3 linked regions of the Oryzias latipes genome follow. The protein of the gene in region 1 interacts with the protein of each later gene in a biochemical or structural test. Links are inferred from orthologs where the notes say so. Each region holds a gene or a part of one and is shown on either strand. Other genes may lie near its edges. The genes, in order: sp1, psmc5 and nr2f1.

Region 1 (3,757 bases):
TATGTCCTCCATCAAAGGAAAAATGTCACTAGAACATGTTAAAAACACCAAAAACATGATTTTTATCAGAGTGGATCTTTAAAATAGCCCTTTTCGCCCCTGAATTAAACATGACAAAGTTTACTTTTATTAAAATTTATCAACAGGTCTGTCCTACGTTATAACTGCTATATCAGTTCTTGCTGTTTCTTTGCCAATACTAAAAATGTGTTTACTACAGCAGGGGCTTTTGGTTGTAGTGGTGACACTGAGGGGTGGGTCCAAGCCTAAAGTTAAGAATGGATGGACTCCACCTTCTGGCCTGTTTACATGGACACATGTGCTGCTTCACTGACAGCCCTCTTTCGTACTAAGCGATGAAAGCCCTCCCCTACGAGAGGCGCTTTCCACTCCCAGCCATCTGTAGTCGGTGTCTGGAGGACGGTGGAGGTTTTTTTTCTCCACCCTGGCTGCCTTCTCCCGCCTCCTCCCTAGTGTTTACCAACCCATCCGCCACAAAAAGGAGTGGCCAGCGGCCACGGAGGCAAGACTCAAATCGACAGTCCTCCTTTTTCCCCACCTCCAGGTTTTAATTCAAGACACAAATCTAAGCACGATTTCTAAGTTTAAACATAAGACCTTCTTCGGAATTATACAAAGAAATCCGTGCGTATATATGTCAACATTTTAGAAACGCGGAAAACATAACCAATGTCAATTAGACTAAGGAGCGCAGCCTAACGTGGATGAACCCGCCCTATATCACCCACCTTTTCTCAAATTCCATTGGTTGGCTGACGGTAAGAGGCAGAGACATACGGTTTGATTGGTAGATTGAAGTAATCTTTCACAAGGCGCTTTTCTAGGGGGTGCGCTTGTTTTCTACGTTAATGGAATGACAGTAACACTAGATAATCAATTTATACATTTTTTAAATAAAATTTTGATTTAAAATAGTCTCACTTAGTAACTTTTCTAAACATTTTTTTTCTTGCAGGAAAAATAAACCTAGCTACAGTAAATTGTCTTATATTTTACATGTTAATGGATGCAACTATAAATTACCTTTACTCGTTTAACTTTTAAGAAAATCTCGGTTTAAGGGGCTCTATTTTCAATGTGTATTTAGTTTTTAAAACAAATATATTAATATAGTTAAAACGCACCTACTTTTAAAAATGTGTTCTCTTTCTATGACTACATAGAACAAAGATGGCGGGCTACAAAGGTACCTAAATTAAACGCACCTCTGTGCTTTCCTTCAAAGGGAAGGGGCTATCAAGTTTGTGTGAAGTTGTGAAAAGTTGTTAAGCAGAAAAAGAGCACAGAAACTCCTCCCGTCTTCAAATATGAGCAGTAAGTGAAGTTTTAAAACTCAGTGGTATGTTATGTATCTTTAGCTTGACAGAGTTTTTATTGTAGTAAGAACATTTTTTAAAACAAATAAGCAGCGGTAAACGCACAGTATTATATATCGAGTTGCCATAAACATGCAGTCAAAAAGTGGCCAGCAAACCTAACGACGTTAACGCTACTTGTTGGAACTTGGCTAACAACATTTAGCGAAACGGCAAAAAGTTGTTCGTAAGTGACACTAAAATCTGTGTACTTTCAGGACCAATCTGTATTCTTAGCCCATGTAGTCCGTTACATTTTAGAGATTAACTGAAGTCTCAAAGAGATTCAAGAGCGATTTCTTAGAACATCACTTGCCATTAGTTGATGTTAGCTTAGCTATTGAGCTAGCTTGCCCCGTGAGTACTTTGCCATTTATACATTTGCTTTTCTTGGAAAAGCCGCTACAAAAAGACAAAACAGACTTAGAGTTTTATATATATAAGACGTTTTATTTTTGTCCCGTCTGAGGTTTAAACTTGTGTTAAAGAGTCGCATTGTCTGAAACTCGTGTTTTGCTGTTTGTTGAAGTTGGGAATCTTGCAACTCTTCTTCCGCAGATCAGCAACAAGGTGAAATGGCCGCAGTGGAGAGTGGCGGAGGATTCTCTCAGAAGCGGAACACTAACTCACAAGTAGGTTTATCCTTCACTCGGACTGTTGATTTTAGTCAGTCTTGGCCTGGTTTGTTTTCGCTACTTGTTGAATTAGCTCGAAGGCGTTATTCGGGACCGGTTGTTTATTTCTCCCCAGAGCACATGTCACCGGGGTGGGGACTGGGCAGGTAAAAATCTCCCAGACTGGGTGTTCCCGTCAACCCCCGGCACTACAAGTGCGTTTTGTTCGGCCCATTTGGCATGCCTTTGAGGGGGTGGCCAGTGTGGTGCGCTGGTTTATAGGGCAACATAAAGTGTGGGAGGGAGAGGGGTGGGCTTGGGAGGAGGGGGAAGCCGAGCCCGCCACTACTCCTCTCAACTGTGGTCCCTCCCATACCCCACCTCAACCCCCACCTCCATCTGAAGCCCACTCCCTAAATCCTGCCATGAACACAGAGCAAATCCACCTATTTAATTCAATAATCCATATTTACATTGGTGTTTGTTTAGCATAAAATATGTTTACATCGTTTTCTTTTGTTAGACCTAAAGTCCTGTCAAGATTATTTTTTTTAACATATTATACAATCATTTGAAATCCCTACTGAAATATTTTTGACCTTTTTTTTTTGGTTTGCCATTGTGAATTTTTCAAGATTACACAAGAGCTGTAAATATCACACTTTTTTAATAGCAATCATTTAAATCAGTGGCCCCTGACCCCAGGACGCAGACCGGTACCAGTCCGTGGGATAGTTGGTACCGGCACATAGAGAAAGAAACTATGACCTACATTTTTGTTTTTGTTTTATTTATAATCTGATTTTGAAAGAAACTGTATTTATTCCGTGTAAAATTGTCAACACTTCCATAGCTCCATGCTGTTTTGCACATCTGACATGTTTAAATCTGTACATATCACTCTGCACATAATTGCATACATTTTTATTTTTGCACATTTCTTATTTTGCATATTTGCACACATTCTTGGTACACTCTGTGCATATTGACATTTTTACATTATACTTTGTTAGATTTGTTTTTTGCACTGTAATCGTGACTGCTGTAATTTCATTGTCCAAATGGACAATGACAATAAAGGCATATCTTATCCTATCTTTAAAAACAGAATTCTCCTCAACTGATCCGACTCGTTTTTGACGCATGTCAAGTCACTCTGTTACTTGTCGACAAACCATCTATTACTTTCTTAAACCAGTAGCATAGACCGCTAAGTTGAAACCCCCAAGACAGCAAAGTTAACAACAACAAAAAATGTATTTAAAAGATGTTTTTTTGTCTTTTTTTGGCAGAAAAAAAGACCCAGTGACTTCAGAGAAAAAGAAAGTTGTATTTAACAGACAAAAACCAGTAGTCTGTACTCAAAATACGGATTTATCTACAGTAGTTCCCAAACACCATGATAATAATCTTTTTTTTCATCTTTTAATACGTGTTTAAGTAATGTTATTTTATTTTTTAATCTGTTGCACTTTAAAAGTTGGACAAGACTGAAGTTGGTGCCAATTTTTTAGCTTCCACTTTAACATTTATGAGTTTAGGGGAAATTTGTCACATTTGAATGATTCTAGTTTACAAATAAAATTTCAATCCTCTGCAGATATTTTACAGAGAATGAAAATAAACTTTACAATCAAAAGTTAAGGGAAACTGAAAACTTAAAAAAATGTGGACTTTTACCTCAGCCTTGTCTGACATTAAACAGTCAGTGGCCTGAAAAGGGTTAAGGACTACCTACTAAAATATTTTATTTCACTGTACAGTGTA
Region 2 (2,707 bases), on another chromosome or scaffold:
TGGTGTCTTATCTTGTGTGTGGGATCAACAGACCCAACAATTTCCTTCAGGATAATTAAAGTATATCTTTTAAAATGATAGCTCATAAAAATAAGGGACAATCTTCTTGTTTTTTTTTTTGAAGATTCTCAACATTAATTGACTGAGCAACATCTGATCAGGACACCCCTAGTATTATAACCAAAGATGTGGAAAAGTGCTTTCAGACAGTTGTCACCAGTGTCTGTCACGTCGTCTTTCATTAGGAGGAGGATCTTGTGGAAATGAGCCAGTCTGCGGAGCGGATGGAGGAGTGCTACGGTCACTGGGTGGACTATGTCTTGGTGAAAGAAGATCTAAGCAGTGCTGTGGCAGAACTCCAGAGAGCCCTGGAAAGAGCTCAGACGGACCCACAGTGGGTTCCTGTGAGCTGGGTGAGGCGATAGCAGCAGGAGGTTGAAAACCTCCGTTCCAGTAATTTTTTCACGTCATCAGCTGAGCGGTGCCATCATTCCAAAAGAGCGACCAAAACATGATCACAGCAGATACTGTGCCGGTGTCTATATGTAATGTAACGGCTCTGTGTTGTGTTAGAGGCCTGTGGATGTCAAGTGCCATACAATAAATACACATGCACATCTAAGTTTGACTACTTTTAAAGCCAATTCCTCAAACATATTAGGGGGGGAAAAAGTTTTTATTGACTTGTTACAAACCATAAACAAGGAAAATGTACATATGCAGCTGCAATCTTATTTCCACAGCTTCTTGATAGACATGTTCTTCTCACTGTCCTTCTGCATCACCTGGTTCAGAGAACAGAGGAAAAGGTTCATGAGTTCAGAAAACAGCCTTGATTTTTACACCTGACAACTGCGATACTAACCTTTGCCACGGCCATCTCAAAATCCTCCTGAGTGACATGAACTCTGCGCTCTCTCAGAGCGTACATTCCAGCCTCTGTGCAAACTCCCTACAGCACACAAATTCAAAGTTTAATGAAGCAGATCTGTGAAATACTGTAAAGGAAAGGGGAAAAAAAAACCTTCATACCTTGACCTCAGCCCCAGAAGCTCCAGGCATCAACTCTGCAATCTTCCTTAAATTAATGCCGCGTGTCAGATTCATCTTCCTCGAGTGAATCTTCAGGATGTCCAGACGGGCCTGGTGGAGCAGAGGGTTTCAATGTGGTCATTAAGCTTTGAACCAGCAAGTGTGACGCAGCGACAGCAGCTGGTTACCTCTTCATTGGGAGGGGGAAACTCAATCTTCCTGTCAATCCTTCCTGGCCGGAGCAAAGCCGAGTCCAGAATGTCGATCCGGTTGGTGGCCATGATGACCTGCAGACGAGAAGAACAAATTCCAGTGAAGTACAAATCTTCTCAATTTAAAAGGTTTCAGCAGCATTTACTGGTGTAAATGACGCATTTCACTTTACTAAATCAGGAAAAAAATACCGTCCAGCACTAGAATTATACAATGACCTTATTAAGGAAAACTAAACTCTGTAAATTAAAGTGTAAATGTTTATTACCATCTTTTGGTGAGCCTTTTACAATAAATGTTTTCCCCTAACAATATAACTTAAGAGATTTTTAAATGAAGTTGTACCAGTTTATTAAAAAAAACCAAATAAAATAAATTGTTTATTCATTTTATTATATTTTTAGGATATTTGTTACATGAATGTTTTTAAAGCTACGTTTGCAAATATTACTGTGCAAACACAGTGAAACCTTTAAACATCAGTAAACCAAACACCAGGTATTCCAGGAAGCATGTTTAAACTAGCCTGACTTTAAGCCTGAACTCTGGCTGAAATCCGCCTGAACTCGCTAACTCGGGGTATGTCGGTTCCAAAAGACCGGATATGACTTGGCGTAATTACGCTTGACTTGGTGACCCTGGCTTTATGCACGTGCTCGCCAAGTACATAAAGACATTCTCAATAGATCGCCGATTTCTGGAGTCACCATGGAAACGCGTGGAGAAAAAACAAAAAAAGGTATATACCAGTGAGACGGAGTCTGAGATTTTAATGACGGCGTATGAAGATTATACGTCCATCAAAAAAGTAATACGGCTGCATCAGCAAAAAGAGTTTCTGCTTGGAGAAAAATGACAAAGTAAACGCAAGAGTTTCTGATCTTGTTTCCATTTTCCTTGTGACGCATATATGTATATAACTTATCCAATTTTGCCAACTTAAATGAATTACTTCTATTGGTAACAAAAAATTGAGTTAAATTTATTCAACCTAATTTCTTACGTCCATAAAACTCAATAATTGTTTATACAACTCAAATTTATGTATTTATCTAACTAAATGTCATTACTCCGATTCAATTAATATTTTTCGATCTTAATTATATTTCTTGATCTCTCATATGTATGAGCCGGCAGATATGCTCATTTTTGTAACAACAAAAAGGACGGGGAAAAACTGCACAGAGTGCAGAATTTCGTTAAAGAATTTTCCGTCATTGTTATCACAGCAGTAAACGGTAGGGGTGCTATTTAAACTCATCATCCTCTCCTTCACTCTCACTCATGGTGCAGAGACGCAAGCATAGTAGGACAAAATGACTCGGTAAAACAGCTAAACAACTAAACACATTTGGTCAAAAAGCCACACTTAAACCCAAATCCGTCCAGACAGGCAAAGGGAATGGTATCCCATAATCCCTTGCAGTGCAGATCTAACAGCAGCACCAAAGTTACACCTACT
Region 3 (3,757 bases), on another chromosome or scaffold:
TTTAAGCTTTTAAAAATGCATGTCGGAAAACTTGCATATGAAGTTGTAATTGAACATTGTACGCTAGATGGCAGCGCGATCCAGACATTTTTGAGTAGGAGAGGTATAGTCAGCTTGCAGAAACCCTGATACAAAAAGGCGGAATCCCCATGCAAATCCCCCGTAACTTCATTTCATTTTGAATTACTGTCAATATTAGGACACAACGTGCCACCGTCTGCAGTCTATAGGACTTTAGAAATAATCCAAAACAGCTTATCTTGTTAGAGATGTTCGGCTCATTTGCAAGACCCGCCGTTTGTACAGTACAAATGTGCATTATTTTTTCCTGTGATATTTTTTTTCTTTATGTTATGTTAAATCTAAACTAAATGGTAAGTTTTAATGAGCAGAACTGTGCCATTCACAGACGGCGGTGTGTACCGCAATGCGCACGCCAAGGACAAAACAGCGTGTGAACAGAAGAAATCAATTTGAACCAAAAAGAAGATGTCACTTATTCCTAAAATAAAGACAACAGTTCCACACAGACTGGTCCGAAACTTTGGGCAATATCTGAGGCAGAGTGGTGTTTCGCTGCTTTTCGTTTATTTGTCAAGCGTAAAAGCTTTGTCCTCTCTTGCCTTTACCCCGCTTTTTTCTTCTTTTTTCGCTATTCTATCCAGGGTTTCTTCCTCTTTTTGGTGACAATAGACGGCCCATACTAATCAGGTTTCAAAGTAAATAGCAGCGCGGGGCGAGCTCAATGTAAATTGCGCCTGTCAGAGCACCCCCCATACACACACACACACTCACACCGCCGCCCCCCTTCCCTTCCCTCCCTCTCTCCATTCCCCCCAGCCCCTCCAGCCGTAGATGGCAGCGCTGTAAAAAATATCCACGCCTCAAACGGCGCTCAGTGCAGCGCCGAGGCTTGGTATCACAAGGCGGACACAAGCTTCCATTTCGACGCGTAATGCCTTTCCTGGATCCCGACACCAGTCGATCCATCATGCGCCTTTACGCAGCCTATGTATTTCCAACAGAAATCCCCCCACCCCCCCATCTCTGGACTCCGATATATTGGCGTAAAAAACATTCTCCAACTGTAAACACAAGGAGGTGTATTTCAAACCCAGATGCACGGTTCCTGCTGTATTTTACGAATAAAATCACATTTTCACATCCGAACACGAGACTGGATGACTTCTGAGATGGTCACTTTTTGCAGTGGATAAGCGGAGGGGGATTCTAACCAATAGAGAAACAGAGAGGGCTTGGCTATAACCTCAGCCTCCCATTTTCTCTCTCCCTCTGTCCCCCCTCTCCTCCTCTCCTCCTCCTCTATGCAGGGCTCTGGCCAGTCAGTCGCCTTTGATTATCAGTCTCCAGCAGCCCCTCTCTTGGCTCCTTGACATGAGCACCATATAAGGCGCAGCGATCTCCATAGAAACGTGTCAGTTTCAATAGTAGTGTCAAAGTTCACTATATACAGACATTCGCGCAGATCCCCCGTTTCGGAAACATTGCTCTGCTGGTCCTCCCGTTTAAGCGCATTCATTTTTTGGGTCTCTCCTTCGTCTTGCATATTCTATTAGTATTTGGTGTTTTTGCTCTTCTTTTTTTACATTTTCTTCTTCGTATCCATTCCTCCTGCTGGAGAGGAGTGAAACTATACATGGGCACTTCTTTCGGCGACGCGATTTTCTTCCGCTGCTGGGCGAGATGACGAGCCTTATTTAAGAATATATAGATGTAAAAAAAAATCCAGCTCTTCAGTTTTTTCCTGCCCTCCTGCGCGACGAAGACGGGAGTGTAAAGGAGCAAGAGGAGGAAGAGGAGAAAGGAATTTATCTCCGCTGCACTTTGGATCGCATTTCTTTCCAACAAGGTTTTCTTTTTTTTTCTTCTTTTTTTTCTTCTTCTTCTTTTTTGTACTTGTTCCTGCGTCTACGTGAATCCTGCCTTTCCTCTGTGGCTATTCAGCATCTAACTGCAATTTGTTACGTCTGGACTCTGGTTTTCCTACAAGATTAGGGATTCCTGAATGGCTGACTGCAATTTACCTTGGAACTGGCCTCCCGACACTTGCAAATCCTGATCGGGTGCCTCTCCAGTCGCCCTCCTGCTTTTGAATGTATTGATCGCCGTTTTTTTTAACCCCATATGAGATTGCGTGCACCGATTTGACTTTGCACTGCCCCGTCTTTTGAGATCTCTTTTTTTTTCTCCCCTCTGCGCTATATCTACATCAGCGACCATTTCGCTTTATAGCACTTTCCGTGGCCGAGATATGGCAATGGTAGTTAGCGTCTGGCGAGATCCGCAGGAAGACGTGGCCGGAGGACCTCCGAACGGCCCCAACCCAGCAGCGCAGCCGGCGAGGGAGCAGCAGCAAGCGGCGTCGGCGGCGCCGCACACTCCGCAGACCCCCAGCCAGCCGGGACCCCCGTCCACGCCGGGGACCGCCGGGGACAAGGGGAGTCAGAATTCTGGACAAAGTCAGCAGCATATTGAATGTGTGGTTTGCGGAGACAAATCGAGCGGCAAACACTACGGCCAGTTCACCTGCGAGGGATGCAAAAGTTTCTTCAAGAGGAGTGTACGGAGGAACTTAACCTACTCATGTCGTGCCAATAGGAACTGTCCCATTGACCAGCACCACCGAAATCAGTGCCAATACTGCCGGCTGAAGAAGTGTTTAAAAGTGGGAATGCGGCGGGAAGGTGAATATTTAAGCTTACTCTTTAGTGCAGACACGCAGGGCTGCCATGTTGCATTAAGGTCAGAGGCGCTCTCTAGCCGGGCGTGCACTGCAGACTCCTTTTTGATCCATGTTTACATGAAGGCTTTTTATTTTATTTTTGGTGGTAGTGGAGGGGGGGGGGGTATAGTGTGCAGCAGCAGCAGTGATGCTCATGGAGGCAGGCCGTCTGAACAAAGCGTCTCGTCCAGCTGACCTTTGTTTTTAAATGTTCTAGTTTAGCCTGTTTGATATGCAGGTTATGGCGCAGAATCGTGAATTATCCTTACATGTGAACATGTCGGAGAGTGTGTGTGCGCGTGAGTGTTTGTAAGAGGTGGGCTTGTGTGCGTGTAGTTGTGTGTGTGTGTGTGTGTGTGTGTGTGTGTGTGTGTGTGTGTGTGTGTGTGTGTGAGAGAGAGAGAAAGAGAGGGAGAGAGAGAGGCTAATGGTCCCATCCCTAGCAGTCCCTTAAGCACAGGCTTACACATTTCTAAATGTACAGCAGGATTTGGATCCTGGCTGCGTCATCGTGGAAAACGGCCATTCGCCAAATCCACGTCTCCTCCTGCTCAGACACACCGAATCCTGCCGCTGAACTTGCCCATGGCTCATTGTTGTGCTCACTGCTGCATTAACAGGCCGTACAACTTTCATAGCCACGTCAAGTGTTTGATTCCAATTGATGCAGACATCCCTCAGTTAAGTCTATTATTTGCAGAGAACACTATAATCCCGCGTATAATATGCGCTGAATCACCTTCATATTTTCTTTTTGAATCCAAAAAGGACAAAAAAAACGCGGATTGGATTGCTTTGATTCGCAGCTGACCTTTTGATCTGAACAAAATGTGCATTTGTGGCTGCATTTAATGCCAATTATCAATCGCATTTGTGGCATTTATGGACACAGTTTGTAATAATTCTAATAAGCACAATTGCGCGTAAATTTAGAGCAGGAACACAAGCTCGACTGCTGACCTATTGTAATATGGATGATGAGGAATTTGTTAGATGAAAGCTGTTTTGCTCTCA

The links.
Region 2: the proteins of sp1 (region 1) and psmc5 form a complex in vitro, tested with the Homo sapiens proteins (2 studies listed by BioGRID). The link is inferred for Oryzias latipes from reciprocal best matches to the Homo sapiens genes SP1 and PSMC5.
Region 3: the proteins of sp1 (region 1) and nr2f1 form a complex in vitro, tested with the Homo sapiens proteins (2 studies listed by BioGRID). The link is inferred for Oryzias latipes from reciprocal best matches to the Homo sapiens genes SP1 and NR2F1.

What each region holds. Positions count from the first base shown.
Region 1 is NC_019863.2:10,447,741-10,451,497, reverse strand, and holds the start of sp1 (transcription factor Sp1), read left to right. Parts: upstream 1-1,231; 5' UTR 1,232-1,328; coding exon 1,329-1,335; intron 1,336-1,934; coding exon 1,935-2,008; intron 2,009-3,757. UniProt on the Homo sapiens protein: Transcription factor that can activate or repress transcription in response to physiological and pathological stimuli.
Region 2 is NC_019877.2:6,904,921-6,907,627, forward strand, and holds the end of psmc5 (26S proteasome regulatory subunit 8), read right to left. Parts: intron 1,320-2,707; coding exon 1,221-1,319; intron 1,144-1,220; coding exon 1,033-1,143; intron 953-1,032; coding exon 866-952; intron 786-865; coding exon 732-785; 3' UTR 658-731; downstream 1-657. Other genes in the region: MAGUK p55 subfamily member 3, read left to right, coding at 246-425.
Region 3 is NC_019867.2:15,617,113-15,620,869, forward strand, and holds the start of nr2f1 (COUP transcription factor 1), read left to right. Parts: upstream 1-1,322; 5' UTR 1,323-2,272; coding exon 2,273-2,705; intron 2,706-3,757. UniProt on the Homo sapiens protein: Coup (chicken ovalbumin upstream promoter) transcription factor binds to the ovalbumin promoter and, in conjunction with another protein (S300-II) stimulates initiation of transcription. Binds to both direct repeats and palindromes of the 5'-AGGTCA-3' motif.